Stegostoma tigrinum: one gene and its partners. The main gene of each other region encodes a partner of the protein of the gene in region 2 in a complex. Links are inferred from orthologs where the notes say so. Each region holds a gene or a part of one and is shown on either strand. Other genes may lie near its edges.

Region 1 (11,407 bases), on a different chromosome or scaffold from region 2:
AAGTACTGGAGCACATTCTATCAGTATCTAGAAACAAACAGAGCCAATTACTGTTTTTTTTAATTTAACCCAACAGCATAATTAACCAGAAAACATAAACGGATCAATTTGTCTGGTTGGTCAATGGTCAATCCACCATCTGTTGTGGGGCTAAAGGGCCTGATTTACGTTCTCGTTTGTTACATGCAGCAATTCAATTAATGGGGCTGGGAGGGGGTGAGGGGTGAGAGAGACAGGCTATAGGATTTAGCAAAGCAGCAAGCATTGGTCATGACCAAGCAATGTTTTCTGCTGGAAAGTGCTGTTCATGTTAGGTAAGGACTGAATCACATTGTATTGTAAGGGCCTCCCAGAGAAAAACTACCTGCCAACCTTCATCATCCCCGTGTGAGGCACCACCTCATCAGTCAGTATGTTTCAAGACAGTGTGTTTGGATAGAGCATTGATAATATCTCCGAGAAGGTTGATCAAAAATAAATGATGCTCCCTTGTAGCATGTGATCTGAAGCCAGATGTTCTTGCCTAGAGGAGACACTACTTCTGTGCCACAGGATGTCCTGCTTTTCCTTAATATAACTTTATCATTTTATCCGCAAACTAAATCTCATTTGCTTAGGAATTAGGAGACAAGGGGACAAGAATGCAGCACCTTAACTGAAATCAATAAAATTTGCATGCAGCATAGTACTTACCATCACCTTCAATGCCATCTTCACTCTCCTACAAAAGAAACAAATTTTTATTAGTATTCATCCTATGTTTATTTTATTATATTTAAATGTAATGTACCGGTCTGAGATCTGTGACTCAAATATTAGTCATTTCATATTTAGCACTAATTCTCCACTACAGCTAACCAACACATATATATACCTCCCAGTAACAAGACCTTCAAGGAACTTTAATGTCCCCACCACTAACAACTGCTGAGATACTGAGCAACATAGAAATTTATAAAATTAGCAACTCTGGCAAAACTTGCGAAAAAAAAATCATCCGATCATAGCAAGGAAATGGACACAGCAAAAATGTAAACAAAATTTGCGCAGCAGTACTGGTCTACTCAAAAATTCTTCCAAATTTTGTAATTCACATGTTCAGGAAATGATTCCAAGTAATTTGTACCCTGCAACAGAAAACAACAGAACCGACTACTGTGCTTATTGTCTTTCAGGGATGTACATCAAGTTCAATTCTGGGGTCAAAACTGAAAATCTGATACTTCACAGAACGTTACACAACATGAAACATCTCGAACACTGATTCACATCACATTTTAAAGCATTACATATAAACAAATTATGCAAGCTCTGTTTTGAGAAATGGTAAAAACTGACGTTAACTGGAATGGACTACAATTTCCAATTCCTGGGAGATAGCAATTTATTTAAAACTCAGCCAGTATAAATAATACTATACGGAATGAATGATTTTAAGTTTTTAAATCAGATTTAAACATACACTGTAGAAATCCAGCAGCCAGAAACTTTCTATATCAAATATATTTTCATAACAATAAAATACTATCACACGAATGACAATGGAAGGCAAAGGCTCAGAAGTTATTAACTAAAAGCTGTCCAAGTACAAGTAAACCTCTCCAAAACAGGGCACATTCATTATCTCACCAAATAGATGCTGCATGAGAAGACACTTTCTATCCTACCATATTCACCATCAGAAAATTTTTCTTTAAAGAACCTTCTGTTTTATCATTGGTAACAGACTTTAACACACAAAAAACATTTTGTATTAGTTAAAAAAACCAAATTATCTGTATCTGCAGGTTCTCAAAAAAAAAACAACTCATCTTGGATCCCTGGCATGTACAGAAATATTTAACAAATGTTTAAGTCCCATATGCTAAGAGGTTTAGCAGATTCAAGAAAAAAAAGTCAAAATCTCAAAGCACACTGTTTACATCCTCTAACCCTACATGCCATAATACGGAAAAGCTCACTGATATTTACAAACTGGCTGGAGCAGGAGGTTCAAAGCCATATACATCAATTCACAGCTCACAAATAGCAAAATTTTAAGATAAAAAATGTGGGGCTGGATGAACACAGCAGGCCAAGCAGCATCTTAGGAGCACTGGGAGATTTTGTCAACTTGCTGCATTGTTGATTGTGTCTGGGCTCCATCAAAATGGTTTTTAGAAAAGTCAGGCTAAGCACTTCCAGTGAAACGGTGAATATTTCTTTCCTGCCCGCAAAAATTAAATATTGTGAAGCGAGGTTCCATTGTGAAACATCGCTTAATCACAGAGTTCAAAGATGTCCATCGATGATTCCAAAGCAAACTGCTGGTATTATGAGAGGCACCTACAAAAACCTCTGATCCATAAAACTAAAATGGAACTGTCTGCCAAATCGCTAGAGATTGAAAACATAATTACATCCAAAGAGAAATCAACTAGTAAATACTAGTTTGTTTCAACACCTTCAAGCACAATTGACAACAATTCAATTAATGAATCGATTTCCCACCGTTGTGTGGTTACAGCTATTAATTCTGATCTTGTGCACTTTATATTGAGCACTCCTTGAGGTACTGGAAGCAGCGATATGGTTTGGTTCTCAGACCAACGGCTTTCCAGTTTTCCAGCTCAGCATTTTCTCAGCACACTATACTCAGACTTGTGGGAAAGCAATGGAAGTCTTCTTAGTCAAACTTTGCCAAAGTCCACAGGAACCTTCAGACAACCAAAGATGGGCAGAAGCAGTAGGTTTGCCAAGTGAACAAACGTGACGCTGTCAATATGTTATAAAATGGAGGAAGGCTTTTATCACACATTATTAGAGATAATGCATTCATAGTAGATTTTGCAGTCTTCTTACCAAGTAGATCAGCTAAGTTAATTGGGCCTGGTTATTTGTTGGGTCTTTTCATTTAAAATTCTGATGCTGTATCTAAAGATCTGGTCACAATTTGCACTTTTGAATGACCTTCTAAATTGGGTTTGTCCTAAGTCCAAATCAAGTTATCATCTTCACACATTTTTTCAGATGCAATAAACTACATGAAAAGCAAATCACTGCAACACGTAACAAACTGCTTTTAAGCAAGAAATCCCACTGTCAGTGTGCTATTTACCAGTTTTAGAAGCATGGATCGATGTTGTTTGTTTCTACAGGTGCTCATCTCTCCAAACTTCTACTCAAATAATCAGTATGGGAGCTGGTGTGGCAGGGGCAAAGGAGAGATACTATGACCATGTAAATTTGGGCAACCAAACAGCAACAAATCATTAATTTAGTAACTTGAGATAGTGTCACTGCACCTTATTTCACTTTCTTGGACTAGGCAAATTATTTAATAACTTCACTAGTGACAGTGATTTTAACTTCTTACATATTATCCATCAATATGTTCAGCACCAAAATGCTTTACAACTCTTACCCATGTAATCACACTTTTATAGGATTTCTTTTGCCATTCATGTCCTTTGAAATTGATTGATTGATTGATGCTTCTGAATTTATTAACTGAAATATTTTTACTCTGGAATTAAAACGTAAAGGGCTAAAATAGACAAAATGCTGAAAATACATAACTCCATCAGCAACTGAAGTAAAAAGATTACTTCCAGTTGACAACTTTCAAATTTCTATCACCTTATATTATTCAATATTTTGCCAAACTTCAAGTATTTAATTGAAACAAAGCTAGTCAGAAAATGTGTGTCCCCAACCTGCACTATCGCAATCATAGTCCTCATTAGAGCACACAAGTAACCAGCAACTAAGTGGGTACAATTTATGCAAATTAATGCCTTTCAAAAGCTAGAGGTAAGCTATAGATCCATACACAAGTTCTGTAAAGCTGTGTAATAACTGACCCAAGACTGATTTTTAAAGTCTTACATCTGCACACAGCATCAGCAGAAATCTTCAGTTAAAAAATCTTATAAACTTGAAAGCATGCTAGCATATTTCTAAAATACATCCTTTTACAAACTCACACGTACAAGTAACTTTAAGGTGTCGGTAACAATTCTACTGGCACCAAATCTTTTATTTGGTTGCTCTCCAAAATTCATCCATATAAACATCAGCTCATGCAATCATGAGTCAAAGCAACTACAGATAACAGGGTGGAGCTGGCAGAGCACAGCAGGCCAGCCAGAGGATCAGGGAAGTGTGTGTTTCAGGTCGGGACCCTTCTTCTGTAATGAAGGGTCCCAACCCAAAACATCAACTTTCCTGCTCTTCCAACTCCACCTTGTTTTATCTCTGACTCCAACATTGGCAGTTCTTACTATCTCAGACATTCCCCTACCATTGCCCCTCTAAACTGATAAGTTATGAGCTAGGTGGAATCAGCTTTACTCAAAAACAAACCCAACAGAACAACCAACATTAAGAAATCAGCATTCTACAGAGCAAAAGGCTATGTATAGTTCTAACAAAACTTCGAACACGAGAATAATCTATTCTGTAGCATATTATGGTACATACATTTCAATGTAGCAAAGTAAAACGAAAAAATGGGTATACACCAAATCTGGATTGATTGTTCTCTAGACACAAGCTTCAGCAATGCCAATCCAATCTTAAAACAGCAATGCACAATTTATAACACAACAAATATAAAAAAAAAGGCCAAACACAGTATCATACACCAAATTAAAACTCTGGGCTCCCACACTTGTCTGACCAAAACAAAAATTTCATAAGGAGACGATATTAACCTCCGAGATACTGGGAACTGCAGATGCTGGAGAATCCAAGATAACAAAGTGTGAAGCTGGATGATCACAGCAGGCCAAGCAGCATCTTAGGAGCACAGAAGCTGACGTTTCGGGCCTAGACCCTTCATCAGGAGACGATATTAACCTCCATTACTTTTACATCCTGAAGCTTTCCAACATTATAAAAAGAAACACTTCAACAAAATAACTTATAAAAACAAGCCCACCATAGTCACCACTGTACTAAATTAAGCATACTTGCCAAACGTGGCCGCGGCTTGGGCCCAAAGCCCGGTCACGAGCCACGGGCTGGACCCAAAGTCCGGTGAGTGGTCACAGACCACAGGCTAACAAAGTGTGAAGCACTTCATGATCTGATGAAGGATCTAGGCCCGAAACGTCAGCTTTTGTGCTCCTGAGATGCTGCTTGGCCTGCTGTGTTCATCCAGCTTCACACTTTATTATCTTGGATTCTCCAGCATCTGCAATTCCCGTTATCACTGACCATCGGCTGGCCCTAAACCCGGTCACTGACCACGGGGTGGACCCAAAGCCCAGTGAGTGACGACAGGCTGCAGCCCTCTTCCTCAGCGGCCAGGCTTGCTCCACAGTTCCAGGCCCTATTCTCTTCCTGCCGCACAGAGACTAAGAGTACACTCACACACTCAGACTCGGCCTCACGAGCCTGGACCCCGGATAAATCCAGGATGCAGGTGACCGAAGGACCTGCTTCCACCTCCGACCGGGGCACATCCTCATCTTCTTCGTCGGTGTCCTGAGAGGCGCGTCGCCGACGCCTGTCCGCCATCTTCCCCTTTTGGAGGCAACCGGAAGGTCCCTTGTCGCAATGCATACCGGGGTTTGTAGGCAGTAAGTCCCAGTGTCAAGTCAGTAGGACTACATATCCCGGCAATCCTAAGCATAGCTTCGACGGGGCAATTTGTTCCTCCAACACTGGGTGTGGTTAGACCGTAAAAACTACAACTCCCATTATGCCCTGCCAGCACGTCTGTTATCGCCCACTGGCCAGAGCATCCTGGGAATTCTAGACTCCCTAAAAAGTTTTAGCAGTGTGGACCTCATTCTCTTATCTAAGGGCTGATGTACTTTTCCTTTAAAGGTTCCATAAAAGGACTTGCTGAGTTGCCCTAGTGCCATTGAACAGAAAAAAAAGCATGAATCCACCTTCTGTCTAAATGGAGTTTGCACATTGTTCCCGTGGGTTTCCTCCCACAGTCCAAAGATGTGCAGGCTAGGTGGATTGACTATTGGAAATGCAGAGTTACAGGATAGAGTAGGGGGCTAGGTCGGTGTGGAATCAATGGACTGAATGGCCTGCTTCCGCACTCTAGGGATTACATGATTCTAAAATGGGACCCAAATGAAAGAAAATCCATGCCATTGTTTAGAAGAACCTTAGACAATTAGACAGAGATAGTAGGAACTGCCGATGCTGGAGAAGCTGAGATAACAAGGTGTAGTGCTGGATGAACACAGCAGGCCAAGCAGCATCAGAGGAGCAAGAAAAAGGGTCTAGACTCGAAGCATCAGCTTTCCTGCCCCTCTGATGCTGCTTGGCCTGCTGTGTTCATCCAGCTCCACACCTTATGTACAATTAGACAGTTCCATTCTGTGGTATCCACTGAATGTTGAGCATGTAGTCCCATCTTTCACAGAATGGTTACAGTGGAGAAATGGAAGTCATTAATAAGACTGCAGCTGAGTATTGTTTACAATTCTAAGCACTTTGCTCTACAAATGATGTAAACGTAGAAGAGGTTTACAAATATGATTCCAGGGAGGAGACACTTAGTCAAACATGGAAAATGTGGAACTTCTTTTTCTTCTTGGAGAGAAATATGATAGAATTTTTCCAAATCTGGGCAATAACAATGTTGACACAAAATTGGTTGAGAAACACTGAGTAATGGGAAATGGATATTTTTTAGGCTGGCAAGATTTGAAAAGGAATACACCAGGAGTCTGTGTTTGAACCCCATCCGGCATGTTTAACCTTTCTCCAGGGACAAGAAGGCATATACAGGACCATGGAAGACTCTAATCACCATTGCTAAGGGCAAAACCATTTTTAAAAATCATAATTCTTGAATCGTGAGTTGCAATTTTTTTTCTATTCACAGGATGAGGGTGTCACTGGCGAAGTTGGCAGATTGTAGCGGTATTGTTTATTGTTTATTGCCCGTCCCTACTTAACCAGAGGGCAGTTATGAGTCAACCACATTGCTATTGTCTGAAGTCACACGTAGGCCAGGCCAGGTAAGGTAGAAATTAAGATTTGCCAACAACATTTCATAAGACAGATTATTGCTTTAAAGATAGTGTAAGCAAGTTCAGGACCACCTTATCCATGAAATGGAAGAACCAACCAGATTGATGTTCAGATTTTGATCAGCATCTTAGGAGCACAAAAGCTGATGTTTGGGCCTCGACCCTTCATCAGAGAGGGGGATGGGGAGAGGGTTCTGAAATAAATAGGTAGAGGGGGAGGCGGACCGAAGATGGATAGAGGAGAAGATAGGTGGACACGAGAGTGTGGGTGGGGATGTAGGGAGGGGATAGGTCAGTCCGGGGAGGACGGACAGGCCAAGGGGGCAGGATGAGGTTAGTAGGTAGGAAATGGAGGTGCGGCTTGAGGTGGGAGGAGTGGATAAGTGAGAGGAAGAACAGGTTAGGGAGGTGGGGATGAGCTGGGCTGGCTTTGGGATGCAGTGGGGGAAGGGAGATTTTGAAGCTGTTGAAATCCCCATTGATACCATTGGGCTGCAGGGTTCCCAAGTGGAATATGAGTTGCAGTTCCTGCAAACTTCGGGTGGCATCATTATGGCACTGCAGGAGGCCCAGGATGGACATGTTGTCTAAGGAATGGGAGGGGGACTTGAAATGGTTTGCGAATGGGAGGTGCAGTTGTTTATTGCAAACCGAGCGTAGATGTTCTGCAAAGCGGTCCCCGAGCCTCTGCTTGGTTTCCCCAATGTAGAGGAGGCCACAGCGGATGCAGTATACCACATTGGCAGATGAGCAGGTGAACATCTGCTTGATGTGGAAAGGCCCGAAATGTCAGCTTTTGTGCTCCTCAGATGCTGCTTGGCCTGCTGTGTTCATCCAGCTTCACACTTTGTTATCTTTGTTCAGATTTTGGTTTGGTTTGGTTTGGCTAAGGGTTGGAAACATGGATGAACAGTTTCTACAATCGTATTTTCTGGTAAATTTGTGCCAGCAGCTGATAAATACTTATTAACAAACCAACTGACAATGGCATTTGTATCTATGCACAGGAGGTTTCAAGGTGCAGCATCTTCTAAGAATAAGAAAAATCCCCATCAAGTAACACAGCAGTATTAGTCATTTTTAATCAACATATTCAGACAATTTAAAGTTTTTGAGAAGATTTGTAGCTAGGGTTGCGGATGAGACTGTAGGTGTGGTTGTCAAATCGGCAATTTTGATTGCAGATGTTTTGTCACCCTGTTCGTTAACATTATCAGTGTGCCTCCAGTGAAGCACTGGTGTTCTGTCCCGCTTGTTATTTATGTGCCTTAGTTTGCTGGGATTGTTGGCATCGCTTCCGGACCTGTTTTTCAGTGGTTTGTATATGGGACCCAGTTCAAAGTGTTTGTTGATGGAGTTCTGGTTGGAATTCCAGGCCTCCAGGAATTCCCTGACATGTCTCTGTGTGGTTTGTGCTGGTATGGATGTGTTGTCCCAGTTGAATTTGTATCGTTCCTTGTCCCTGTGTATTGAGACTAATGAGAATTGGTTTTGTCTCTTGGTGACTAGTTGGTGTTCATGTATCCTTATTGTCAGTTTTCTTCCAATTTGGCTGATGTAATGTTTCTCACTGTCCTTGCATGGTATTTTGTGTATTACAGTAGTTTTATTGGTTGTGGGTATGGGATTCTTCATGTTTGGTAGTAGCAGTCACAGGGTGATTGTTGGTTTGTGGACTGATACCTCAGGATCTGAGTAGTCTTTTGGTCATCTCTAATATGTCTCTGAAGTACCGTAGGGTGACTAATGTGCCTGGCCATGTTGTGTCTTCTTGTTGTGGTCTGTCATGGAGGTAGCGGCAGATTGTGCTTTTTGGGTATCCAAATGTTGTTTGGTTAAACAATATTGTAAGAGTCTGGTGAAGTAGTGGTAATGTAGGTTAGGTGGCCTCGGTTCAGGTCCTATCTGCTCCGTAGCTGTGAAATATAAAGGGGCTGGAAGGGTTCAAATATGTAAATCAGTTGTAACATATTTTAACCCTTCCAGTCCCTTTATAGTTAATTTAAACAACTTGTTCAGACATGTTATTTCACAGCTATGGAGCAGATGGGACCTGAACCCTGGCCTCCTAACCTACACGTTAGTGTAACTAACTGGGAAAATTTTTAAGCACATTATCCACTGGCAATTTGATAATAATCTAATTGTACCTGTGTCAGAAACTGACAGAGCAGGAAATTTATTCTGACTTTGGGCAGCTGCATGGGTTTCTGTCTAGCTTTCAGTTCCAATATTTTGTTAAAAGGTATTTTTGTTGCACCCAACACTCCCCAAATTTTGCTGGATGACCAGACAGTGGTGGCACCAGGATAACAAAGTGTGGAGCTGGATGAACTCAGCAGGCCAAGCAGCATCTCAGGAGCACAAAAGCTGACGTTTTGGGCCTAGTGGTAGCACCAGAGCTGACTGGAATGGAAGCTGAGAGAGCTTGGTCAAATCCCAGAAAAGGATGAGAACCCACAAACTTTTCTTCAAAGACCTGAATGCCAACAGCTACAACAAGATTAACTGACTAAAAACCATCACCATTTTGCCAGTGCTGTGTATTGGAGTGACAATGGAAACAAAAGAGAATAAACATTTAATATTAATAAATATTAGTAGAAGCAATCTTTGATTTTCCACAGCTTTACCAAGAGAAAGCGAAGTCAAAGTGACTTTCCCTCAAGCAGTAAGATGTTAACTATTATAAAGGGATCTCCAGTTTCTGGAATTTTGAGAACTTCAATCTTGTGGTGAAAATCTTGGTACGTGGTCTGGAAGCACGAAGCCCAGGTAATGAGTGTGTGACAGACATAGAAAATGTAATACATTCTAAGAAGTAAGTCACTTGTGTTTGAAAACTTAAAGTACAAGGATTTTGGTTAATTCAGTTAATCGGTTTATCAGAACAGACCCCCTCGCCTTTTACCACTCATATATTTTAGTCAATTTATTGACAGAGGAAAATGCATCATTGAAGTCAATAATTCTATTACTGCCACAATGATAACAGGAATCAACAATATACACCACAAACACACTTTGAGCTGTAACCAGCCCTTTCACTGTCGTAAATAGTAGTTTCAGAGACACCAACATGAAACCACCTGCAAGTTAATTTCAGACAGTTGAACATCACTAGGAGATCTAATTGACCAAAACTTATTCTGTGTGGCAAAGTCATAAGAAATCAACTGCAGCAAATACATCATGCAGCTGCACACATGTAGCATGAGTTTAATGCAGTGTTTGCAATGACTTTGATTTAACAAAATGGACAAAGTTGCTCCACAGTAGCATTGTAATTTGTACTTCTAAAGCCTCTTTGACATAATAAAGCAGACAAAGATGTTTCATGGGTGCCAAAAAAACGTGATGCTGAACACATGAGGAGATAAGAACGTATAAAGTAGGCCAAGAGTAGACTAAATAAGCTCCACAATTCAATACAATCACAACTGATCTTCTGCCTCAAACTTCAGTTCTCCAACTGCTCCCCATGTCCCTTGATTCCCCTGAGAAACCAAAAATATGATCACTAACAAGAAAATTTGAACCAGGAAAGGGCCACACAGCCTCTCAAGCTTGCTCTGCAAGGTTATGGCTGATTTTCTTTTTACTATACATTTCTCCTACTGATGATAACTGCTTGTCTCCTTGCTTACCAAAAAATCGTTTCACATCTGCCTTAAAAATATTCAGAGACTCAGCTTCCACTGGCTTTTCAGGATGAGAGTTCCAAAGACTCTCAAATTTGTGAGGAAAAAAAAACTCATCATCCCTGCCGTAAATATGTGGCCCTAATTCTTAATTATTCCATAATAGGAAACTTCCTGTCAAGTACAAATCTTATATATTTCAGTCAAGCTGCTTCTTACTCTTCTAAACCTTTAGTGGATTCCAGCCTACCCCATCCATTTTTTTCTTACAAGCTAACCCACCCATTCCACGTATTAGTTTACTAGACCTTCGAGTAAATGTTCCCCAAACCTCTTCCAACACACACAACATATTTTCTTAAATAAGGAGACCAATACTGTGCACTGTACTGTATCCCAGATTTGATCTCACCAATGCTTTGAAGCAAATGAAGCATAACCTCCCTACTTTTGAATTAAATTCCCCTAAAAAAAAGCACCATAATATTCCATAAATGTTCCTGATTACTTGCTATACCTACATGCAAACCTTTAGCAATTCATGAGGTAGGCCATTCAGATTTTTCTGCATCTCAGAGCTTGGTAAGCTCTCACCAATTAGATCACATGCCTTTTTTCCTTCCTGCCAAAATGGACAATATCATATTTTACTGCATTTTGTTCCATTTGCTAGATCTTTGCCCACTCTGTCTCCCTTTGTGGCTTCCTTATCTCCACTTCACAACTTCCTTTCCTATCTATCCTTATGTCAGCAAAAAATGTAGCAATGATACCTTTGAGTAC
Region 2 (10,887 bases):
GTCATACAGCACAGAAACAGTCCCTTCTGTCCAACTTGTCCAGGCCGACTGCATTTCCTAAACTAAACTAGTCCCATTTGCTTTGTGCTTCCAAAACTAAGAACATACTGTCCAACATTAGATGTGATCGAATAATTGGGGAAAACTGAACTGTCCTAAGAGTGTCAAACAATTATATCAAAAACCAATTTAAGATCATTAATCAAGCTCTTAGTCCAATCTCCTCCTTAAACTCACTGATGGACTGTAAACAGCTTTCCAGAGGCCTCACCACTGAACACTGAGCACCTAAGAAGCAACATTCAGAGTGGAAATAGTTATAGACAAAACGCTGAGGGAGCGCCGGACTGTCCGAGGGGCAGCGCTGAAGGAGCGCCGCACTGTCCGAGGGTCAGCGCTGAAGGAGCGCCGCACTGTCCGAGGGTCAGCGCTGAAGGAGCGCTGCACTGTCAGAAGGTCAGCGCTGAGGGAGTGCTGCACTGTCAGAGGGTCAGCGCTGAGGGAGCACTGCACTGTCAGAGGGTCAGCGCTGAGGGAGCACTGCACTGTCAGAGGGTCAGCGCTGAGGGAGTGCCGCACTGTCAGAGGGTCAACACTGAGGGAGTGCCGCACTGTCAGAGGATCAATGCTGAGCAAGCGCCACTAACTCTAAACAGTAAGTTGCAAATCCTGGATTGCAACCCTGGGAACTTTCACCAGAAACATGCCAGAGCCTAGGATATCTGCAGCAAGTAATGCACCTCCTGAAGCTGCAAAGCCTGTCCATCCTGATAAGGTGCCACTCACAATGTGATAACATGCACTCAATGTTCCTGGACAGGTCCAGCCCCAGACCCAGCCCCCACCAACAGCCACTCAAACGTCAGCACAGGAAGATGATCTGCTACTCACCAGAGCCAAAGCCTCGTCCCTTTCGCTTCTTGGCCTTTTCCTTCAGCTTATGAATACTTTCTGTAAAATAGACAAACAGTATCAGTGTAGGGGTGGGAGAAAGCGAAGGGGTGCAGTCAGCTGGGTGAGAGTCAAGCACATACGCGGGAAGGCTTCAGGTTATGTGCTGGGAAGGATAGAGCGTCAGAATAGCAAAGTCAAGCTGTCACTTGATTAAAGGATGTTTCAAGGGAGGACACATGGTAAGGGTGGGGAAAATGAGCTGCGTGACTGGGCCGTCATCAAACTCCAACAACAAGGAAACCACGGAAACACAGAAAATAAGCACAGGAATAGGCCATTTGGCCCCTTCCAGCCTGCTCTGCCATTCTATAGGATCGTGGCTGATCATCCATCTAAGTCCTGTTTTCTCTCTCTCACCCTCAATATCTCCACAAACTCTATTGAACTCCTTGAAAACATTCAATGTTCCAGCCCCGACCGCTTCCTCTAGTAAAGATTACCACAGGCTCCCCACTCTCTGAGTGAATACATTTCTCCTCATCCCAGTCCCACCCTACTTCCTTCAGACTGTCACCCCCTGGATATGAATTCCCTTGCTCTGGTCACTGGAAGCATCCGTCCTGCGTGCATCCTGTCTAGTCCTGTTAAAATTTTAGAGGTTTCTATGAGATCACCCACCCTCCCTTCTTCTAAACTCCAACTGAATACAGTCCTAACTGATCTGGTCCCTCAGTCTTGCCATCTCAGGATTCCGTCAGGTAAACTTTCACTGCACTCCTTCCATAACCAGGAAGTCCTTCCTGAGATACAGAGGCCACACTGCACCCAATACTCCAGATGTAGTTTCACCAAGGCCATGTACAACTGCAGCAAGACATCCCTCCTGTACTTGAATCCTCTTGCTATGAAGGCCATCACACCATTTGCCTCTTTCGCTGCCTGTTGTTCCTGAAATGCTTACTTTCAGCGACGAGTGCAAAAGGCCATCCAGTTCTTCTCACACCTCCCCCCTTCGTCATCTATCACAATTCGGAGAATACATTATCTCCCACCCTGTTTTTGCTGCCAGAGTGCATAGCCTCAGATTTATCTCGATTACATTTCATCGCTCAAGCATCTCCCACTCACTCAATGCTGTCCTAATCACACTGAAGCATCTCCGCATCCTCCTCACAGTTCACCTTCCCAACTTGCTTTGTCTCATCTGCAGGCTACAGATGTTACATTTTATTCCTTTACCCAAATCATTAATATATATTGTGAAAAACTGCAGTCCAAGCACCGAACCTTATCACACATCACTGCTTGCCACTTGAAAAAAAAACTCAATTATTCCTGCTCCTTGCTTGCTGTCTGCCATTCAGTTCTCCATTCATATCAGTACATGCCCCCAATTCCAGGCACTTTAATTTTACATGCTAATCTCTTATACGGGATCTTATTGAAAGCTTTCCAAAAATCCAACTAAACTTGGAGAAGGGATATTTGCTCGTGTTACTATTGGGACGCTTTAAACTAGAATGGAGGAAGGGTGGGAGGATCCTAAGCACTAGCAACAAAACAAATGATGGCCGAGGATGGCTGGAATTAGAGGAAGCGAGTTAAATAGAAAGACAGGCAAAAGCACAGCAGAGAATGGGGTAAAGCAGATGAATCAAACTGTATTTACTTCATGATCAAATCTCATTGGAACAGTATCGGGGGATCAACTCACATTGGGACAGGGTCAGGGCGGATTGATTCCCATAGGGACATGGTCACGTGATGGACTCTCTTTCAGAAAATCGGGAATTAATTCCCATTGGGACAGGATCAGGGTGAATTGACTCTCATAGACAGAGGGTCAGGTGCATCAATTCCCTTTTAGGGTTGGGGTGAAACGGCTCTTTGGGATACAGTTGAAAGATCAAGTCTCATTGGGACAGTGTGGAGGGGATCGAGTCTCATTGGGAGAGTATGGGAGGGATAGATTCTCATAAGGACAAGGTCAGGGGTATTGGCTCTCATTGGACAGTGTTGGGGGGGTCAACTGTCTTTGGGATGAGTCTAGGGGATCAAGTGTCAACCAAAGAGGGTCAGAGGATTGAAGATAACAAAGTGTGGAGCTGGATGAACACAGCAGGCCAAGCAGCATCTCAGGAGCACAAAAGCTGACGTTTCGGGCCTCGACCCTTCGTCGAAACATCAGCTTTTGTGCTCCTGAGATGCTGCTTGGCCTTCTGTGTTCATCCAGCTCCACACTTTGTTATCTTGGATTCTCCAGCATCTGCAGTTCCCATTATCACAGGGTCAGAGGATTGATTCACATTGGGGTAGTGTGGAGGGATTAAGGCTCTCAATGGGACAGGGTCAGGGGGACTGAGTCTCATTGGGACAGTGTGCGCATAAGAGTGTGGGGGGGGGTGATCGAGTCTCACTGGGTCAGTGTGGGAGGGATCGAGTCTCACTGGGACAGTGTGGGGGGGGGAAGAGATTGAGCCTAACTGGGACAGGATCGGGGGATCGAGTCTCATTGGGAGAGGGTCAGGGAGATGGAGGCTTGCTGGGCAGTGTGCGCGCATGTGTGTGGGGGAATCGAGTCTCACTGGGAAAATGTGAGGGGACAGATTGAGTCTCATTGGGACAGGGTCGGGGGATCGAGTCTCATTGGGACACTGTGAGGGGAGAGATCGAGTCTCATTGGGACAGGGTCAGGGGGATCAAGTCTCATTGGGATACTGCGAGGGGAGATACCGAGTCTCATTGGGGCAGTGTGGGGAGGGGTCGAGTCTCATTGGGACAGGGTCAGGAGATCGAGTCTCATTAGGACCGGGTCAGGGGATCGAGTCTCATTAGGACAGGGTCGAGTCTCATTGGGACAGCGTGAGGAGAGAGATCGCGTCTCATTGGGAGCGAGGGGAGAAGGAGTCTCATTGGGACAGGGTCCATAAGACCATAAGACATAGGAGTGGAAGTAAGGCCATTCGGCCCATCAGCCATTTAAATCATGGCTGATGGGCATTTCAACTCCACGTACTTGCACTCTCCCCGTGGCCCTTGATTCCTTGTGGCACCAAGAATTTGTCGATCTCTGCCTTGAAGGCATCCAACGTCAGGGAGATCAAGTCTCATTGGGACAGTCTGAGGGGGGGATGGAGTCTCATTGGGACAGTGTGGGGGGGGATGGAGTCTCATTGGGACAGTGTGGGGGGGGAATGGAGTCTCATTGGGACAGTGTGGGGGGGGAATGGAGTCTCATTGGGACAGTGTGGGGGGGGATGGAGTCTCATTGGGACAGTGTGGGGGGGGGATGGAGTCTCATTGGGACAGTGTGGGGGGGGAATGGAGTCTCATTGGGACAGTGTGGGGGGGGGATGGAGTCTCATTGGGACAGTGTGGGGGGGGAATGGAGTCTCATTGGGACAGTGTGGGGGGGGATGGAGTCTCATTGGGACAGTGTGGGGGGGGGATGGAGTCTCATTGGGACAGTGTGGGGGGGGGGATGGAGTCTCATTGGGACAGTGTGGGGGGGGATGGAGTCTCATTGGGACAGTGTGGGGGGGTGGACTCAGGCGGAAGGGGGAGCGGGGCAGGGCCGGTATGAATCCGGAGTCTTTGGCTGTCGGTGACACTGCGGAGGAGCGGGAAGGTGTTTTATTTACCGTCACCCTCATCGTCCATGGCGAAGTCCTCGCCTCCCGCCTCATGAAGATCCAACACGTCCGCCATCTTGCCGCCGCAATGGATTCTGGGGAGGGGGCGGGGAGGTGCGGTGTTCTATGGGGGTGGGGCACTGACGTTGTTTCCGGTAGGCGTGCATGACGCGATGGCGTTGACGCCGATGCCGACGCCTGCGCGTTGAGGCTTTGGTTCCCACGACCTTGTCCAGACCCAAGATGGCGTTGAGGATGGGTTAGTCCACACTAATATGCTGCTCCACTTCAACTCAGTGAAGTATCAACTCCTCACATGGGCCAGGCTCACCACTAACACCCTCATCCGCTTAGCTTAACTTCTCCTCACCCTCAACAACTTCTCTTTCGATTCCTCCCACTTCCTACAGACTAAGGGGGTGGCCATGGGCACCCGCATGGGCCCCAGCTATGCCTGCCTCTTTGTAGGTTACGTGGAACTGTCCCTCTTCCGCACCTACACAGGCCCCAAATCCCACCTCTTCCTCCGTTACATTGATGACTGTGTCGGCGCCGCCTCTTGCTCCCCACAGGAGCTCAAACAGTTCATCCACTTCACCAACACCTTCCAGCCCAACCTTCAGTTCACCTGGGCCATCTCCAGCACATTCCTGGACCTCTCAGTCTCTATCTCAGGCAACCAGCTAGAAACTGATGTCCATTTCAAGCCCACCGACTCCCACAGCTACCTAGAATACACCTCCTCCCACCCACCCTCCTGCAAAAATTCCATCCCCTATTCCCAATTCCTCTGCCTCCGCCGCATCTGCTCCCAGGAATGAGGCATTCCACTCCTGCACATCCCAGATGTCCACGTTCTTCAAGGACCGTAACCTCCCCCCCGCAGTGGTTGAGAATGCCCTCGATCGTGTCCCCCGCATTTCCTGCAACTCATCCCTCACACCCCATCCCTGCAATAACAATCAAACAGAATACCCCTCGTCCTCATGTCCCACCCCACCAACCTCCGGATACAACGCATCATCCTCCGACACTTCCGCCATCTACAATCCGACCCCACCACCCAAGACATTTTTCCATCCCCACCCTTGTCTGCCTTCCGGAGAGACCGCTCTCTCCGCGACTCCCTTGTCTGCTCCACACTCCCCTCCAACCCTACCACACCTGGCACTTTTCCCTGCCACCGCGGCAAATGCTACACCTGCCCCCACACCTCACCCCCATCCCAGGCCCCAAGAAGACCTTCCACATCAAGCAGATGTTCACCTGTACATCTGCTAATATGGTGTACTGCATCCGCTGTACCCGTTGTGGCCTCCTCTACATCAGGGCAACCAAAACGAGGCTTGGGGACCACTTTGCAGAACACCTACGCTCGGTTCGCAATAAATCGCTGCACCTCCCAGTCGCAAACCACTTCAAGTCCCCTTCCCACTCTTCAGACAACATGTCCATCCTGGGCCTCCTGCAGTGCCAATAATGATGCCACCCGAAGGTTGCAGGAACAGAAATTCATATTCCGCTTCGGAACCTTGCAGCCCAATGGTATCAATGTGCATTTCACAAGCTTCAAAATCCCCCCCTCCCTAATGAACAGGAGTAGACCAATGGGGTGCTAGTTGGTCCAGTTCATTTGTACAGAACAGACCCGGACAATTGACTCATGACTGGCATCTCCTTGGGTTCTGTACTGGGTCTCACGTTGAGCCACAGAGATATACAGCGTGGAAACAGACCCTTCAGTCCAACCAGTCAGCCAGATGCCCATCAGATATCCTCAATTAATCTAATCCCATTTTCCACCACTTGGCCCACATCTCAGTAAATCCTTCCTATTTATTTTACTCATCCAGATGTCTTTTTAATGTTGTAATTGTATCAGCCTCCACCACTTCCTCTGGCAGCTTGTTCTGTCTACGCAACCACCCTCTGTGTGAAAATGTTGCCCCGCAGGTCCCTTTCAAATCTTCCCCCCTCTTACCTTAAACCTATGTCTCTCTAGTTTAGGACCACCCTACCCTGGTGGAAAGACCTTGAGTATTCAACCTATCCATGCCCCTCATGATTTTATAAACCTCTTTAAGATCATCCCTCCGTCTCCAGCCCCCCCTGGGAAAATAGCCCCAGCCTAAACAGCTTCTCCACATAGCTCGACCCTGGCAACATTCTTGTAAATCTTTTATGAACCCTAACATCTGACAGCTTTCCTCCAGCAGGGAGACGAGAATTGAATGCAGTATGACAAAAGTGGCCTAACCAATGTCCTGTACAGCTGCAACATGACCCTCCCAACTCCCTATACTCAACGCACTGACCCATAAAGGCAAGTGTGCCAAACAGCTTCTTCACCGCCCTGTCCACCTGCAACTCCACTTTCAAGGAGCTATGAACCTGCACTCCAAGGTCTCTTTGTTCAGCAACATGCCCCAGGACCTTATCATTAAGTGTACAACTCCTGCCTAGATTTCCCCTACCATAATACAACACCTTACATTTATCTAGATTAAATTCCATCTGCCAATCCTTGGCTGAGATGCTGTTTGCTTGCTTTTTGTTGGTTCTTGGTTTAAGTTTTATTTTAATCAGGATAAATTAAAGCCCAGGATCAGGGGGCCAGCACAAAAGAGTGAAATCACAGGTAAAATCATTGATTGGTGCTAGCTACTGATTTGACTATTATACATCACTTTCAGATAGAAGTTTTACAGGCAACAAACCCAAAGGGCAGCATGAAATATTTTTGAAAAATCAAATTAAAAACTAAGGTGCCAGGCCAGGTGATGTTTTATAATTGCATGCTGTGGAAGCTGGGGGATCTCAATGTCGCTAGTAATGACCACATTCTGAGGAACTCAGGCTCAGACTCATGGAGCTAGAGTCTGAGCTATGAACACTGCTACACATCAGGGAGGGGGATAAGATTTACCTGGATGCTGGAGGCAGTCACACCCCCTAGATTAACTACCTCAAATTCTTTCAAGGACAGAAGGGTATGCAATGGGTGAGACAGGTCAAGGGATCTGGGAGGTTGTGCTGAAGGAGCCTCAGCAGTTGAGCTTGTCCAACAAGTTTGAGATTCTTGCTCCCTGCATGTCAAGAGTGGGGGCTGTAGGGAAGATGAGCAAACTCGCACTACAGTACTGCAAGCCATTCAAGAAGGGCAAGAAAAGAGAAATTCAGTTTTAAACACAGATACGTATCATCAGGGGAATAGACACGGTTTTCTGTGGCCAGGATCGAGAGTCCTGAAGGCTCCGTTACCTGCCTGGTGCCCAGATTCAGGATTTCTCATCTGGGCTGCAGAGGAGGGGAAGGATCCTGTTGTCGTGGTCCACGTCGGTACCAACAATACAAGCAGAAAGTGGAAAGAGCTTCTGCTGAGGGAACATGAGCAGCTAGGGTCTAAATTAAAGCAGAACCAAAAAGGCAATCATCTCTGGATGACTACCTGAGCCATGAGCTAATTGGCACAGGGTCGACAAGATTAAAGAGTTAAACACGTGGCTGAAAGATTGGTGTGGGAAATATTGAATTCATGGGCCATTAGCACCAGTATTGGGAAGGAGGGAGCTGTTTCAATGGGATGGGCTCCACTTGAAGTATGGTGGTGGGGGAGCGAGGGAGGGATACTAAATTGTATGGAAAATTTTGGATAATCTTAAAGAGGGGAGGGCTCAACAGAGGTTATTAAACTTGCCAGAACAAGTAATAGGATGGAGAGTGTGGAATGGGCAGGAATCAAACTTCAGGCTCAGCAGGTAAGGGAACAAGTACAGTGAGGGTGTCAATGTAGGACTAAGAGTATTGTACATAAAATGCACACAATACATGAAACAAGCTACATGAGTTTGTAGTGCAGATTGAAAATGACAGGTAGAATGTTGTGGGTATCTCAGAGACGTGGGTGCAAACTAAATATCCAAGGATGCACATCCTATCAAAAGGACAAGCCGATGGGCAGTAGGGGTGAGGCTGCCTTGTTAGTAAGAAATTAAATTAAATTAAATTGGTACAGAAGAAGTGGTATAGAGTTGGGAGGCACAGAATCTGTATGGGTAGAACTTAGGAAAAGAGACCCTGATGGGAAATATTTTCAGGCTCCTGGCTGTAGTTAGTATGTGGGGACGCAAATAAGTAAGGAGATAGACAAGGTATGTAAGGAAGGCACTATTACAACAATCATGGGGGACTAAAATATGCGGGTGTGTGTGTGTGTGTGTGTGTGTGTCTGCGAGTCGCTGAGGGAGACGCATGTGAGTGTGTGTGTAAAACAAACTCATGCATGTGCGTCTGGAATGGCTGACCTGGAAGGCTGGATTGTAAGGGCAGGCTCCTCTCGGAAGTGGGCCAGGCCCAAACAGCGAAGCAAGCTTTCAACACAGAAAGGACACCCAGGAATCCAATAAAAATTTTATTTGATCAAATGGCTAGGTGCAAAGTAGTGAGCTATCAGTCACCATGTATCAAACATATAATACTGCTTTTTAATCTAAAACGCTGGCTTCGGTACAAGTTGTGTAGTGTATAAATTCAGCCAAGTCAGAAGTAATAAGTGGATCAGAGTGAGAGGTGACGAGGTCAGTCCTGTCAAAATTCCAGCAGAGAATAAGGCATGTCAGGATAGCCTGCAAAAATGGTGCAGATTGACAGCTCCAGTGATATTGTCAGAATTGCTTACATCTGGGTGTAAGGGCTTAGTGTATGTGATATTTGTCCGTGTGGGTCACTGTGGACAGGGTGATGCAGGAACAAGGAAAGTCATTTCACCCCTCAAATCTGCTCTGCCAGTCAACAAGATCATGGCTGATCTTCTATCTCAATGCTGCTATTCCACACTCTGCCCATAAAGCCTCCAGATCTTTAATCCCTGGAAAGCTATGGATCTCTGGCTTGAACCTGCTCAAAGGTCGAACCTCCTCAGCCCTCTGGGGATAAGAATTCCAAACACAGCCCCACAGAGTGAAGAAATTCTTCCACACCTCTTAAATGACCTGCTTGCATTCAGAGACCGTGTCCTCTGGTCTCAGGCACCCTGTCCCCAAAACCCACCCCTGACTGGTTCAATCATCTCAGTTGTAATGCTCTCTCTGCAGAGAGACTCAGACTCACTCACTTCAGGCTTTTCAGCACAACGCTGATGATTGAAGTCTTAGAAAAGGCAAGGAAACATTAAAGATTGCAGTAAATAGGAAGTGACAAACACAGGGCTGGAGACCAGCAACCTCACGGCCTGCTATGATTTGGGAATTACCTTCCTGGCCTGACAGAGGCAGTGAGGCCTGGCGAGTCCAGACGCATTGCAGTCACGGTGCCCCTTTTAGCTCCAAAGAGCTGCCTGAACAATCTGGCGTGATCAGGAAAAGAGAAGAGAATGAGAGAAGTTGAAGGATACAGTTGAGACAGCTGCAAGTGCCCACTAAATATGAAGCAGAGTAAACCCCCAGGAGGCAGGCCATTAGCTCAGTCCAGGTGCCCGGCTGCTGGGCCAGGCGGGGCACTGAGGAGCCTCAGCAGTTGGTGGTATGTTTCGGACCCAGTTGTCCCATGGCCAGCACCAGGATGTCCTTCTTCTCTTTGTAAAAGCGCAGTTCTTTCCCTGCCAGCCGGGCCTCCTCCAGCTCCTGCTCTGCGACGGCAAGCTCCCGGCTGATTATTCCAGGCATCACGTGCTCCCGGCTCACCCACTCTGTCGCCATGTGGCTGCGCATGTCGTCGTCCAAGGCCCTGTGGGAGTAGTGAGCCAGCACCTCCTGCAGGAGGAAGGGGAGATGGCAACCAGGTCAGTGACACTGCTGGTGGGAGGCTGACCCCCACCCAACCAGGCAGGTGGCATTGCCCCAGGCCCTGAATTGGAAAGACCACACATCCCTGTAGGCCCCTCACCTGGGCACACCACGCACGCACGCACACACACCACCCACCCCTCCCCTCACCTGGGCACACCAAACACACACACCCCCTTCCCCTCACCTGGGCATGCCACGCGCGCGCGCGCGCACACACACACACACACACACACACACACACAGGGATGAGGCATGTTCTGGCACTGCCAGGGCTGTGCTGGTGCAGGGATTACTTACCTGGCGAGAGCATTGCCGTTCCCTCATTGCCTTCAGGCTGCCATTCCAATGCAGGAGTTGAAATACCGTCATCAGCTCCTGGAACAAATTCACAATGACAGGAGCAGGAACAACGCCATCGCAGCATCTCCCCCCACCCTGCGTGTATACTGACCCAAACCACGGCCCCACCCTCAGCATTTACACCGACGCAGACCACGGCCCCACCCTCAGCATGTACACCAACCCCAAACCATGTCCCCTTGCTCTGCCCCTCCCCATAGAGCACTACCCTACAT
Region 3 (10,859 bases), on a different chromosome or scaffold from region 2:
AATCTATTAGTGTTCACCTTGTCAAACTCCCTCAGAATCTTTTATGTTTCAATGTGACAACATCTCATTCTCCTAAACCCCAGAGACTATTAGCCTCTTAACGTAGCTTAAAACAATTTAACCCTCTCATCCCAGGGACAAACCAGTGAACCTTCACTGTGTTCTCTCCGATGCAAACTAATCCTTCAAATAAAAAAGGAGACCAAATAACTTGTCTATTTTGCCCAAAGAAAACTTTAATAAATTTATCAAACACAATTTCACTTTTGTAAGGCTACACTGACTTTGATCTTTCTACGATTTTCAAAGTGCATTGTTAAAGCTTATTTAATCTTACTATCCAGCACTACCCTGATGACCAATATAAGGCTAATTGCCCTGTAGTTTCTGTCTTTCTCTCTTGCTCCCTTCTTGAATAGCAGTGTCACATTTGCTAATTTCCAATTTGCTGAGACAGTTCCAGAATTTTTGTAAAATCATTGCCAATGCATCTACCATCGCCGCAGCTCTCTCATTATGATGACCTCTCTCATCACGATAGATCTTGGGAATTATCAAATTTTAGTCTCCCAAATTCACCAATACTTTATCTGGAGATTTTAATTCCCTCACTCATTGCTGTAAGTAGACAAGTGCTGCATAGGTCTTGTGACCTCGTGAAAATGGACAAAATAGCTGTTTAATGTTTCTGCCATTTCCTCACTCCCTATAATAATTTCTAATGTCTACTTGGTTACTTTAAAAAAAAAGTTATATATATATATGTTTGATCAACATTTTGTTGGTATGGTTTTCAACATAGGCTTCTGCTGGTTTTACCTCCTGCAACATTTAGCAGCTTTATAAATCTCTTTCCAAAAAAATACAAACTCTAATACTATCCTTAATTTCCTCAATAATTTGGATCATTTTTATTGCTGAGTTTTTCAACTGAATGTATTTTTGTTTAATATTTTGAATTGTTTCTTTGGTGCCCACTATTTATATATCACTATATCTTATTGCTTATTGACCCAGTCAACCTTACCCAGCTCTCTTCTCAAATCCATGTAAATTGCTTTGTTTAAGAACAAGATTCTTGTTTGAGACTGAAGTATGTCATTTCAATTTTATAACGGAATTCAAAGTTTTTGAGAAAATTTGTAGCTCTGGTTGTGGATGAGGTTGTAGACCTGCTCATCAAGTCGTTGTGTTTGATTGCAGATGTTTTGTCACCCTGATAGGTAACATTGTAGTTCGCCTCCGGTGAAGCAGTGGTGTTCCATCTCGCTTGTTATTCATACGCCTCGGTTTGCTGGGGTGGTTGGCATCACTTCCGATTCCATATTTCAGTGGTTTGCATATCTGGTCCAGTTCAATGTGTTTGTTGATGGAGTTCCGATTGGAATGCCAGGCCTCCAGGAATTCCCTGGCATGTCTGTTTAGCTTGTGCTATTATAGATTCCTTGCATGGAACTTACTCGCTAACTTACAATTACTATTGTAAACTCTCTGCTTCTTCCTGTCTCATTTTACTTGTCCTCACCCTCATCACTTAATGTTCCGTTGCCTCTAACTTTGCCCTTGGAATTTCTACATCTTTCTTCAACTTGGTCCTGCCCCCTTTTGTAGGCTACACGTTTATTTTGTTCAGAATTTGAACCAGTGCCTGAATACTAGACAAAAACTCAAATAAAACTTTTGCATTTAACTCAAAAGGTTGAAATGTATTTTTGAAATTACTGTTGATACAGTAGTTTAAAATCAATAAACAAAAGCAAAACACCAGATGGAACTTCCCCAAAAGATCAAACACAATGACTCATGAAGGATTTACAACAAAAATCCACTTGACTAATTTACTAAAGATTATATGCCCTGAAATCACTGTCCAAAAATCAAGCTGTTTGTAGCCAAGGCTTTACACTTAATATCAAAGCACTGATGCAAGCAAGCAGTACAGAAATGCTTCCTGCAGCATGAGTCAAACAATGGTTATGCTCAGTTAGAAACAGGTGCAGTGACTGACTTGAGACATTATTGAATCTTAGCACTGTGGTATACTAATCTTTGAGCAAAGCTGAACTCTAAAATAAATCAATTTAATCACATATTATACATATTTGTGTTTATTTACAACTGCTGTAACATTGCTGTATGGTTCTGAGACCTGTAGTCATAGAGGCAAGTGCACACAACAGCATCTATACTGAAATTAAATACAAAACACTGCAGAATCTTTGGATAGAGAAACTTCAGTTCTGAAGAAATTCCTTGACATGAAACGTTAATCTGTTTCTGCCTGATGCTACTCAGTCTAAGTATTTCCAGCAATTTCTTCTTTTGTTTCAGACTGCTAGCAATGCAATAGTTTGCTTTCGTTTACTGCCCCAGTGCAGCTGGTGTGAAAACTGTAGACAGTCTGCCAGAAGAGAACTATGCTTTTGCTCATCCACATCCCTCAGGACCACATTAAATGTTAGATTTGGTGAAGCAGCACTTTATTACATGGCCGTAATATAGTGCACTGCAAAGCCCAAATAACTATATGCACGGTACAAAGTATAGGTTGTAAATGACAGCAATCTGAAAGCTTTTCACATGCCACAGACAACTGGGATCTGACTTTGGAGTTGAGTTGACAGCTTTATTGACCGCATATTGAAAACTATTCCATGGTCCGTCAGACTTACAATCTATGTGACTTTAAAATTGTTTTGCTATATACGCACAAATTGAACTAACATTTCTCAGTTCTAAGATTTCATCAGATGACATGACCATGAATATATCACCACAGCATCTATATCTGATTAATATCAGAGGTGGTTTAGGCCCTCATAATAAATAAGAGTTAAAAAGAAAATAGATAGCAGCTCCTCTGGCTTTTAAGGCACCTTGATAATGTGGCCCTTGTGATTTAAAAGAAATTTGATAAAATTCTGTCATAGTAACAACCTACCTTGAATTGGTAGAGAAAAACTCGAAATAATCATGCTCAGGCAAAGGGGCAAGTTGCTCTTCTAATTGCTCTTTTGTTAGACTTGGAGGCAAACGACGGATCACCACCTGATGGATAAACGCAGTTCAATATCTATCAGCTACTTCTTTACCAAAAAAAAGTCAAATGTCAAAGCAATTTAAATTGAGAAACAGATCACACAGATTAGGTACCTAGTGAGCTACTTAAGCTCTCAACATCCAAATTACAAAAACAAGAGCAAACAATCCCATTACTACAATTTAGCAACAAAGGTGACGACCCTGCTGTGATGAGAGCCCAATCAATAAAGTATTATGGAAGAAACATCCTAATGACAAAACATTCATCAATAAAGAAGCTACTTTAGCATCAGGATCATTTAAACATTGCAAAATGTTAAACCTGTTTTTCTCCACAGATGCAGCTTGACCTCGAGTACTTACAGCATTTTGTTTTAAGACAAATCTGAAGTATTTGGAGAGCTAATCAGTAATTGAGAGGCAGCAACAAGATCCAGGAATGACTCAGCCACAAATTCATTTTCATACAATATGCAATTCTCCGAGATTAGCGTGGTCGTCACAAGTAACTGTGCTTCTCACAAAGAGGTAGAATAATCATTCATTAAAATTACGTACAGAAAACGGATTGTGAGGGGAAACCGGAAAGCAGCCTAGGGCAGCCTAGATCTGAGGAAGGATCACCAGACCCGAAACACTAACTCTGATTTTTTTTTTCTTCATAGATGCTGCCAGACCTGCTGAGCTTTTCCAGCAACTTCTGTTCTTGTTCCTGATTTACAGCATCCGCAGTTCTTTCGGTTTTTATCCAGAAAATAGGCTAACTGCCTCGGAGCATTGCACAAACACTCTGACAGCTTCAAGTAGTGAGGTAAAAACCAAAAGAACTGCGGATGCTGTAAATCAGGAACAAAAACAAAGTTGCTGAAAAAGCTCAGCAGGCCTGGCAGCATCTGTGGAGGAGAAAACAAGAGTTAACATTTCAGGTCCGGTGACCCTTCCTCAGAACCTGAAGCAGTGAGATTTTAGCCATGATGGTGAACACGGATTACGAAGGAAGCCATTTAGGCGGAGCCAAAAACCAGAAATTTCTGGAGAAACTCAGCAGGTCTGGCACCATCTGTGGAGAAAAAAAGTTAATCTTTCGAGTCCAGTGATCCTCCCTCAGATGAGGGCTGCAGTTCTTTGTCTTATTTAAGTGGAAACATTGCCTCCTGGACTGTATCCTGGCTGAGGCCTGTTGCTTCACAAACCTTGGTCAAGACCTCTTTTTTCTCCTTCTTTTCGGGTTTCTCTGCCCTTTCCTCATATTTGACCTCCACTTTCTTCTCCCTGGGTTTGGTATTCTCCTTATCTTCCTTCATGCCTTGAGGAGGCAAGCTGCGGCTTCGAAAATAAACAGGCCTACCCCGCTGACAGAGCCAACTCCAACTGAGCCGGCTAGCCTTTGGCTCCCTGTCACGTCACTCAAGCTCCGCCCCCTCTTCTGATTGGTCCGCGCCGGAGGGGGAAACGGTTTTTGAGGCGTGGTCACCACGGACCAATCGCCACGGGGCTTGCTGCGCAAGATTCCCCGCCCTCTCCTAGGAGAGGCAGTTATCGCGAGAGGAAGTGGTGGGGAAAACGAAGTCCCTTGGGGTTTGTGTGTGCAGTGGGGTCTTGGCGAAGGTCGCTGTGAGCGAGTTGCGATGTGGTATGAGATCCTGCCCGGGCTTGTCATCATGGCCGGCTGCCTGACGGTGCCTGGCCTCGCCACCATCTACGTTCACAGGTGGACGAACGGCGGTAAGGTAAGCAGCGGAGCTTGTAGCCGTTGTCGGTTGGCCCTTTCGCTGAGGGGCCTGTGGGGGCTGAGTCAGATTCTCGATCTTGAAAGGTGATGGGAAAGTTTGGGAAATTGCACGTTTGGAATGTCGGATCAGCCGTTAATGTATTTTATTCATTGAGGAAAAAAGAGTATACATAGTCACTGACAAAACAGTGCGGAGCTGGAGGAGCACAGCAGGCCAGGCAGCGTCAGAGGAACAGGAGCAGCTACTGTAAGCGTTTCTATACTGGCTTTGCACATGAATAACGTACAAACATCTAAATTTGGCATTCTCTGCATTTGCAAAAATAAAACAAGGCATTTCTTTCTTCAGGAGGGTTACATTGATATGTATTGAGGTACTAGAGGTATTTCTAACAGAGCTCACTGAGATACATAGCAGAAATTGGACTCCTGACTTATCCACCACAGATACTGAGGCAGTTGTTGCTGGTTAAATCTGAGGGATAACAGTGGTGAAAGTGTGCTGTGCTGTTTGCAGTGTCAACTTTAAGGTGAGACAGAAAAGTGAGAAATGGATAAATGAATGGACCAGAGATAATGGGAACTGCGGATGCTGGAGAATCCAAGATAACAAAGTGTGGAGCTGGATGAACACAGCAGGCCAAGCAGCATCTCAGGAGCACAAAAGCTGACGTTTCGGGCCTAGACCCTTCATCAGAGAGGGGGATGGGGAGAGGGAACTGGAATAAATAGGGAGAGAGGGGAAGGTGGACTGAAGATGGAGAGAAAAGAAGATAGGTGGAGAGGAGAGTATAGGTAGGGAGGGGATAGGTCAGCCCAGGGAAGACGGACAGGTCAAGGAGGTGGGATGAGGTTAGTAGGTAGGAAATTGAGGTGTGGCTTGAGTTGGGAGGAAGGGATGGGTGAGAGGAAGAACAGAGTAGGGAAGTGGAGACAGGCTGGGCTGGTTTTGGGATGCAGTGGGGGGAGGGGATGAGCTGGGCTGGTTTTGGGATGTGGTGGGGGAAGGGGAGATTTTGAAGCTGGTGAAGTTCACATTGATACCATTGGGCTGCAGGGTTCCCAAGCGGAATATGAGTTGCTGTTCCTGCAACCTTCGGGTGGCATCCTTGTGGCACTGCAGGAGGCCTATGATAGACATGTTGTCTGAAGAATGGGAGGGGGAGTTAAAATGGTTCGCAACTGGGAGGTGCAGTTGTTTATAGCGGGAGACGCGGTCAAGGGTGTTCTCGACCACTGCGGGGGGGGGGAAGTTGCGGTCCTTGAACTTGGACATCTGGGATGTGCGGGAGTGGAATGCCTCATCCTGTGAGCACATGCGGCGGAGGCGGAGGAATTAGGAATAGGGGATGGAATTTTTGCAGGAGGGTGGGTGGGAGGAGGTGTGTTCTAGGTAGCTGTGGGAGTCGGTGGGCTTGAAATGGACATCAGTTAATAGCTGGTTGCCTGAGATGGAGACTGAGAGGCCCAGGAAGGTGAGGGATGTGTTGGAGATGGCCCAGGTGAACTTGAGGTTGGGGTGGAAGGTGTTGGTGAAGTGGATGAACTGTTTGAGTTCCTCTGGGGAGCAAGAGGCGGCACCGAGACAGTCATCAATGTAACGGAGGAAGAGGTGGGGTTTGGGGCCTGTGTAGGTGCAGAAGAGGGGCTGTTCCACGTAACCTACAAAGAGGCAGGCATAGCTGGGGCCCATGCGGGTGCCCATGGCCACCCCCTTTGTCTGTAGGAAGTGGGAGGAATCGAAAGAGAAGTTATTGAGGGTGAGGACGAGTTCGGCTAGGCAGATGAGGGTGTCGGTGGAGGGGGACTGGTCGGGCCTGCGGGACAGGAAGAAGCGGAGGGCCTTGAAGCCATCTGCATGAGGAATACAGGCGTATAGGGACTGGACGTCCATGGTGAAAATGAGGTGCTGGGGGCCAGGGAATTGGAAGTCCTGGAGGAGGTGGAGGGCGTGGGTGGTGTCACAGACGGAGGTGGGGAGTTCCTGGACCAAAGGGGAGAAAATGGAGTTCAGATAAGTGGAGATGAGTTCGGTGGGGCAGGAACAGGCTGAGACAATGGGTCGACCAGGGCAGGCAGGTTTGTGGATTTTGGCAAGGAGATAGAAATGGGCCATGCGGGATTGGGGAACAATGAGGTTGGAGGCTGTGGGTGGGAGGTCCCCTGAGGTGATGAGGTCATGGATGGTGTTGGAGATGATGGTTTGGTGCTCGGAGGTGGGGTCATGATCAAGGGGGCGGTAGGAGGATGTGTCGGAGAGTTGGTGTTTGGCCTCGGCGATGTAGAGGTCAGTGCGCCATACTACCACTGCGCCACCCTTGTCTGGGGGTTTGATGGTGAGGTTGGGGTTGGAGCGGAGGGCTGCCCGTTCTGCGGGGGAGAGGTTGGAGTGGGTGAGAGGGGTGGAGAGGTTGAGGTGGTTAATGTCTCGACAGCAGTTGATGAAGTGGTCGAGGGAGGGTAGGATGCCTGGGGGTGGTGTCCAGGAGGAGGACTTGTGTTGGAAGCGGGTGAAGGGGTCAGTGGAGGGAGGGCTAGGCTCCTGGTTGAAGAAGTAAGCGTGGAGGCGAAGGTGGCCGAAAAACTGCTGTGTCCAAACGTGACTGGTATTCGTTGATGTGTGGTTGTAGGGGGACAAAGGTGAGCCCCTTTTGCTTAGGACTGACCATTCATGCTCAGTCAGTGGGAGGTCTGCGGGGATGGTGAAGATTCAGCAGGGCTCAGTGTGGCTGTCTACTCTGGGGTTGTGGGTGGAGCAATGAGGTCGTCTGCCGTGGGCGGGGTGTACTTTGTGTACCCTCTGTGTACTTTGGCAGAAAGTGATCTATTCCAGTTGTGCCTTGGCAGCAATAGCTGCCCCCAGCTTTAGTGCACCCCTCACCACGTAGTCCTGGGCCTTGGAATGTGCCAGTCTGTAACACTCGGTTGAGGTCAACTCTTTGCACTGGAAGACTGACTGGAGGGGCCAGATGGCCCACACCTAGCCCTATGTCTTACAGTCTCCTCTCTTTTCTGTTCCTACAAACATACTTTTATGTCATGGGGTTGGTTGACCAACGTCAATTTGAATTGGAGTAGCTCTTTTAAAGTGTCGCGGGTTCTTTTGAAGGAGTGTTAATGAATGAGCCCTTGGAAGGCCCCTCTCCTCCTATTTTTCCAGTCTGTATCCTGAGAAGGGTAAAAAAACCTTCCTCGCTTTTCTACCTCACCTTAAAGTTGACATGGCAGACAGTGCAGCACTCCCTCACTACTGTTATTTTGCCACAATAACCAGCGGAATTGCCTCAGTACCTGTGTTGAATAAGTTTGGAGTCCTGTTTCTGCTGTGTGTCAGGAACCTCTGTTAGAAATGCCTCTGTATGGGCATCAGTTGAAGAGGATCATCTACAAGATAGAAGTCAGGAGTGTGATGAAATTGCCAGATTTCTGAAGGGCCCAGACCCGAAATGTCAGCTTTCCTGCTCCTCTGTTGCTGCCTGGCCTGCTGTGTTCATACAGCTCTACACCTTGTTATTAGAGCATAGAACAATGCAACGCAGAACAGGCCCTTCGGCCCTCTGTTGCGCCGGCCTGTGAACTAATCTAAGCCTCTCCCACTACACTATCCCATCATTTATCCATATGCTTATCCAAGGACTGTTTAAATGCCCCTAACGGTTCTGGGAAAGAAGTGGGACAATGAGGGGCAGATGGCAGCCATTCACGTTGGACTGTTTGTACCTGAACAGAGCTGGCACTGAGGTCTCTGCAACATTTTATCTTGGATTCTCCAGCATCTGCAGTTCCCATTATCTCTGCAGTTTTAAACCTGTCCACAGAAGAATACTCAGCTAACTTGGATCCACGGCCACTTGAAATTTATTATTTTGGTGATGTCTTGCAGTTTAGTATGCTTTTTATGAAGTGTCTTTCGGTGCATCCTTGTGTTGTGGTAAATCGTCCTCCAAAGTTTGGGGCTGCAATGCAGCCAAGAGGTTTCTGCACATAAGCAGCCCCCTTTGAGTAGTTGTGCAAAAATCTTCAGGTACCGTAGACTTAATTTGATTGTACACTTTTTCAAAAGAAAATTGGTCCAGCCTTTTCTAGGAGAACTAATGCTTAGCTCACCTGATCATATTAGGGAGAGTCCTTGTCATGCACTCAAATATGAAGCCTCCCTGCTTCCTCAACAGAGGCAAGTAGGAAGCAGTGAGACTGCAGAAGGCCTTGGACAAGAGTGGGCAAGCAAGTGGCAGATAGAATTTCCCCATTTTGTATTCCGACGTTTTGCATTTTGGTAGGAAGAATAAAGGTGTAAACTATCTTCTGTGTGAGAAAAGACTTCAGAAATCTGAAGCACAATGGCACTTGAGAGTCCTAATTCAGGGTTCTTTTTTAAAGTTAACATTGCAGAATCAGTTAGGAAGGGAAATGCAATGTTTGCATTCAGTTTAAGACAGCTAGAATTCAAGAACAGAGATGTACCGCTGAAGCCGTATAAGGGTCTGGAATATTGTGAGCAGTTTTGGGACCCGTATCTAAGATGCTTGTGTGAAAAGCTTGTAGCAGTTTGCTACACTAAAGGAGCTATACAAATGTAAATTATTTATTTGTAACTCAGGCTGGAATAGAATATAAATTTCAGATTTTCCTTTACATTTTGTAATCTAATGTCCGCTGTGAATTTATTTGAAGTATCAAACAGAAATCTGTTTATGAACATAGCACATGCCTGGACTTTTAAGCTTTTTAAAATACTGATTTGTTAAGAGTTTCCTTTTAATGAAGTATTTTTTTGTCTGTTTGCCTTACAAGTTAAGGATTATATAATGGATGTAGCTGAAATTCACCCAGTTGGAATCAGTGTCAAAATCCATTTGAGAGCTTCTGTAGTAGTACCGGTCTTGGCAATAAGAATAGAAGTATTCATTCAGGCTTGTTACTGATTTAAACATTATGCTTAAGTACCTTTATAAGAATATAACAGTTAAAATATTGAATTCCTACTTCTACTTGATTTTTCAAGCAAAAAGAAATACTCTTAATGTATTCTTTATGCTTAGGAAAAGAGGACTGCTCGTTTACCCTATCATTGGACCCTAATGGATCGAGACAGGAGAGTATCTGGTTCCAACACGTACTACGAATCAAAAGTGAGTTCTTAAACATAAATGCTGAACTTCCTTATGCTAACCATAGTTTTTGTTCCCAAAAGAACATCCAATTTGCTGGAAAAGCAACTGTTCTTTTATTGTTTATTTTAAAAAAAAGTTTCTACAGTTTTTTAAAATAAAAATGCCAAGTTGATGAAGATTTAAAATAATATTTCAGTGTAATTATGGAAAACTTATGTCCTATTTAACACTTTTTTTTTCTTCTAACAGGGATTAGAAAACATTGACTGATGGGCTTTTCATCACAGGCAGGACCGGTGAACCTGCGGCAGAATGCCTGTCTGCTAAAACACAAAATTTATTCTGTGTGTTATAATGTAATTGAGATATTTAACATTAAAGTGGACCATAAAAATGTGAACTGGCTGTGCAGCTTGCCTCTTATTGAAGATGGGTTCTTGGAAGGAGGGAATGGAAAATCTGTGAACAAAAACAAGTGGGTGCATTGGAACAGCTGAAATATATCAGTATGAGAGACTATTATATATCCTTTGCTGTTTTTGGGCATGAGAAGATTTGATTGCTATGTTCTGAAAGTATGAAGTACGTGTATTGGAGAAAAGGGAAGACAAAATAAAATTTCAAACACTTAAGTATTCCAGACGTTTCAGGAAATTATGCTTCAAACCATGGTAACAGTGGGATTGATAAGAGTATGTTGTATGTGAGTACATTGTGTTGCTATTTTCTTGCAAAATTAGTAGTTAAAATTTTTTATAGACCAGATAATCTTGCTGTTAATATCAAAGTATGCATCTTTTGGAATAAGTGATTTTATTTCCTTAGAGTCTTTACTTGAAAAGTATATGGAGAAATTTGACCAATCTAGAATTGAAAATAAATAGGGGTTTGAGGGCATGTTGATTATCTTAAACACAGCATCAGGATTTGCTTAAGTGGTGGGAGGCTAGAAATGTATGACCAGCCTATTC

What was found.
Region 1: rbm8a (region 2) and casc3 share a complex: the UniProt entries of both Homo sapiens proteins name them as parts of the mRNA splicing-dependent exon junction complex. The link is inferred for Stegostoma tigrinum from reciprocal best matches to the Homo sapiens genes RBM8A and CASC3.
Region 3: rbm8a (region 2) and upf3b share a complex: the UniProt entries of both Homo sapiens proteins name them as parts of the mRNA splicing-dependent exon junction complex. The link is inferred for Stegostoma tigrinum from reciprocal best matches to the Homo sapiens genes RBM8A and UPF3B.

What each region holds. Positions count from the first base shown.
Region 1 is NC_081384.1:12,318,769-12,330,175, reverse strand, and holds the start of casc3 (protein CASC3), read right to left. Parts: upstream 5,526-11,407; 5' UTR 5,503-5,525; coding exon 5,356-5,502; intron 722-5,355; coding exon 694-721; intron 1-693. UniProt on the Homo sapiens protein: Required for pre-mRNA splicing as component of the spliceosome. Core component of the splicing-dependent multiprotein exon junction complex (EJC) deposited at splice junctions on mRNAs.
Region 2 is NC_081400.1:7,591,574-7,602,460, forward strand, and holds the start of rbm8a (RNA-binding protein 8A), read right to left. Parts: upstream 4,671-10,887; 5' UTR 4,603-4,670; coding exon 4,536-4,602; intron 952-4,535; coding exon 892-951; intron 1-891. Other genes in the region: lix1l (LIX1-like protein), read right to left, coding at 10,034-10,276, 10,610-10,687.
Region 3 is NC_081368.1:16,063,773-16,074,631, forward strand, and holds the start of upf3b (regulator of nonsense transcripts 3B), read right to left. Parts: upstream 4,454-10,859; 5' UTR 4,347-4,453; coding exon 4,236-4,346; intron 3,049-4,235; coding exon 2,942-3,048; intron 1-2,941. Other genes in the region: ndufa1 (NADH dehydrogenase [ubiquinone] 1 alpha subcomplex subunit 1), read left to right, coding at 4,671-4,772, 9,817-9,906, 10,138-10,158. UniProt on the Homo sapiens protein: Involved in nonsense-mediated decay (NMD) of mRNAs containing premature stop codons by associating with the nuclear exon junction complex (EJC) and serving as link between the EJC core and NMD machinery.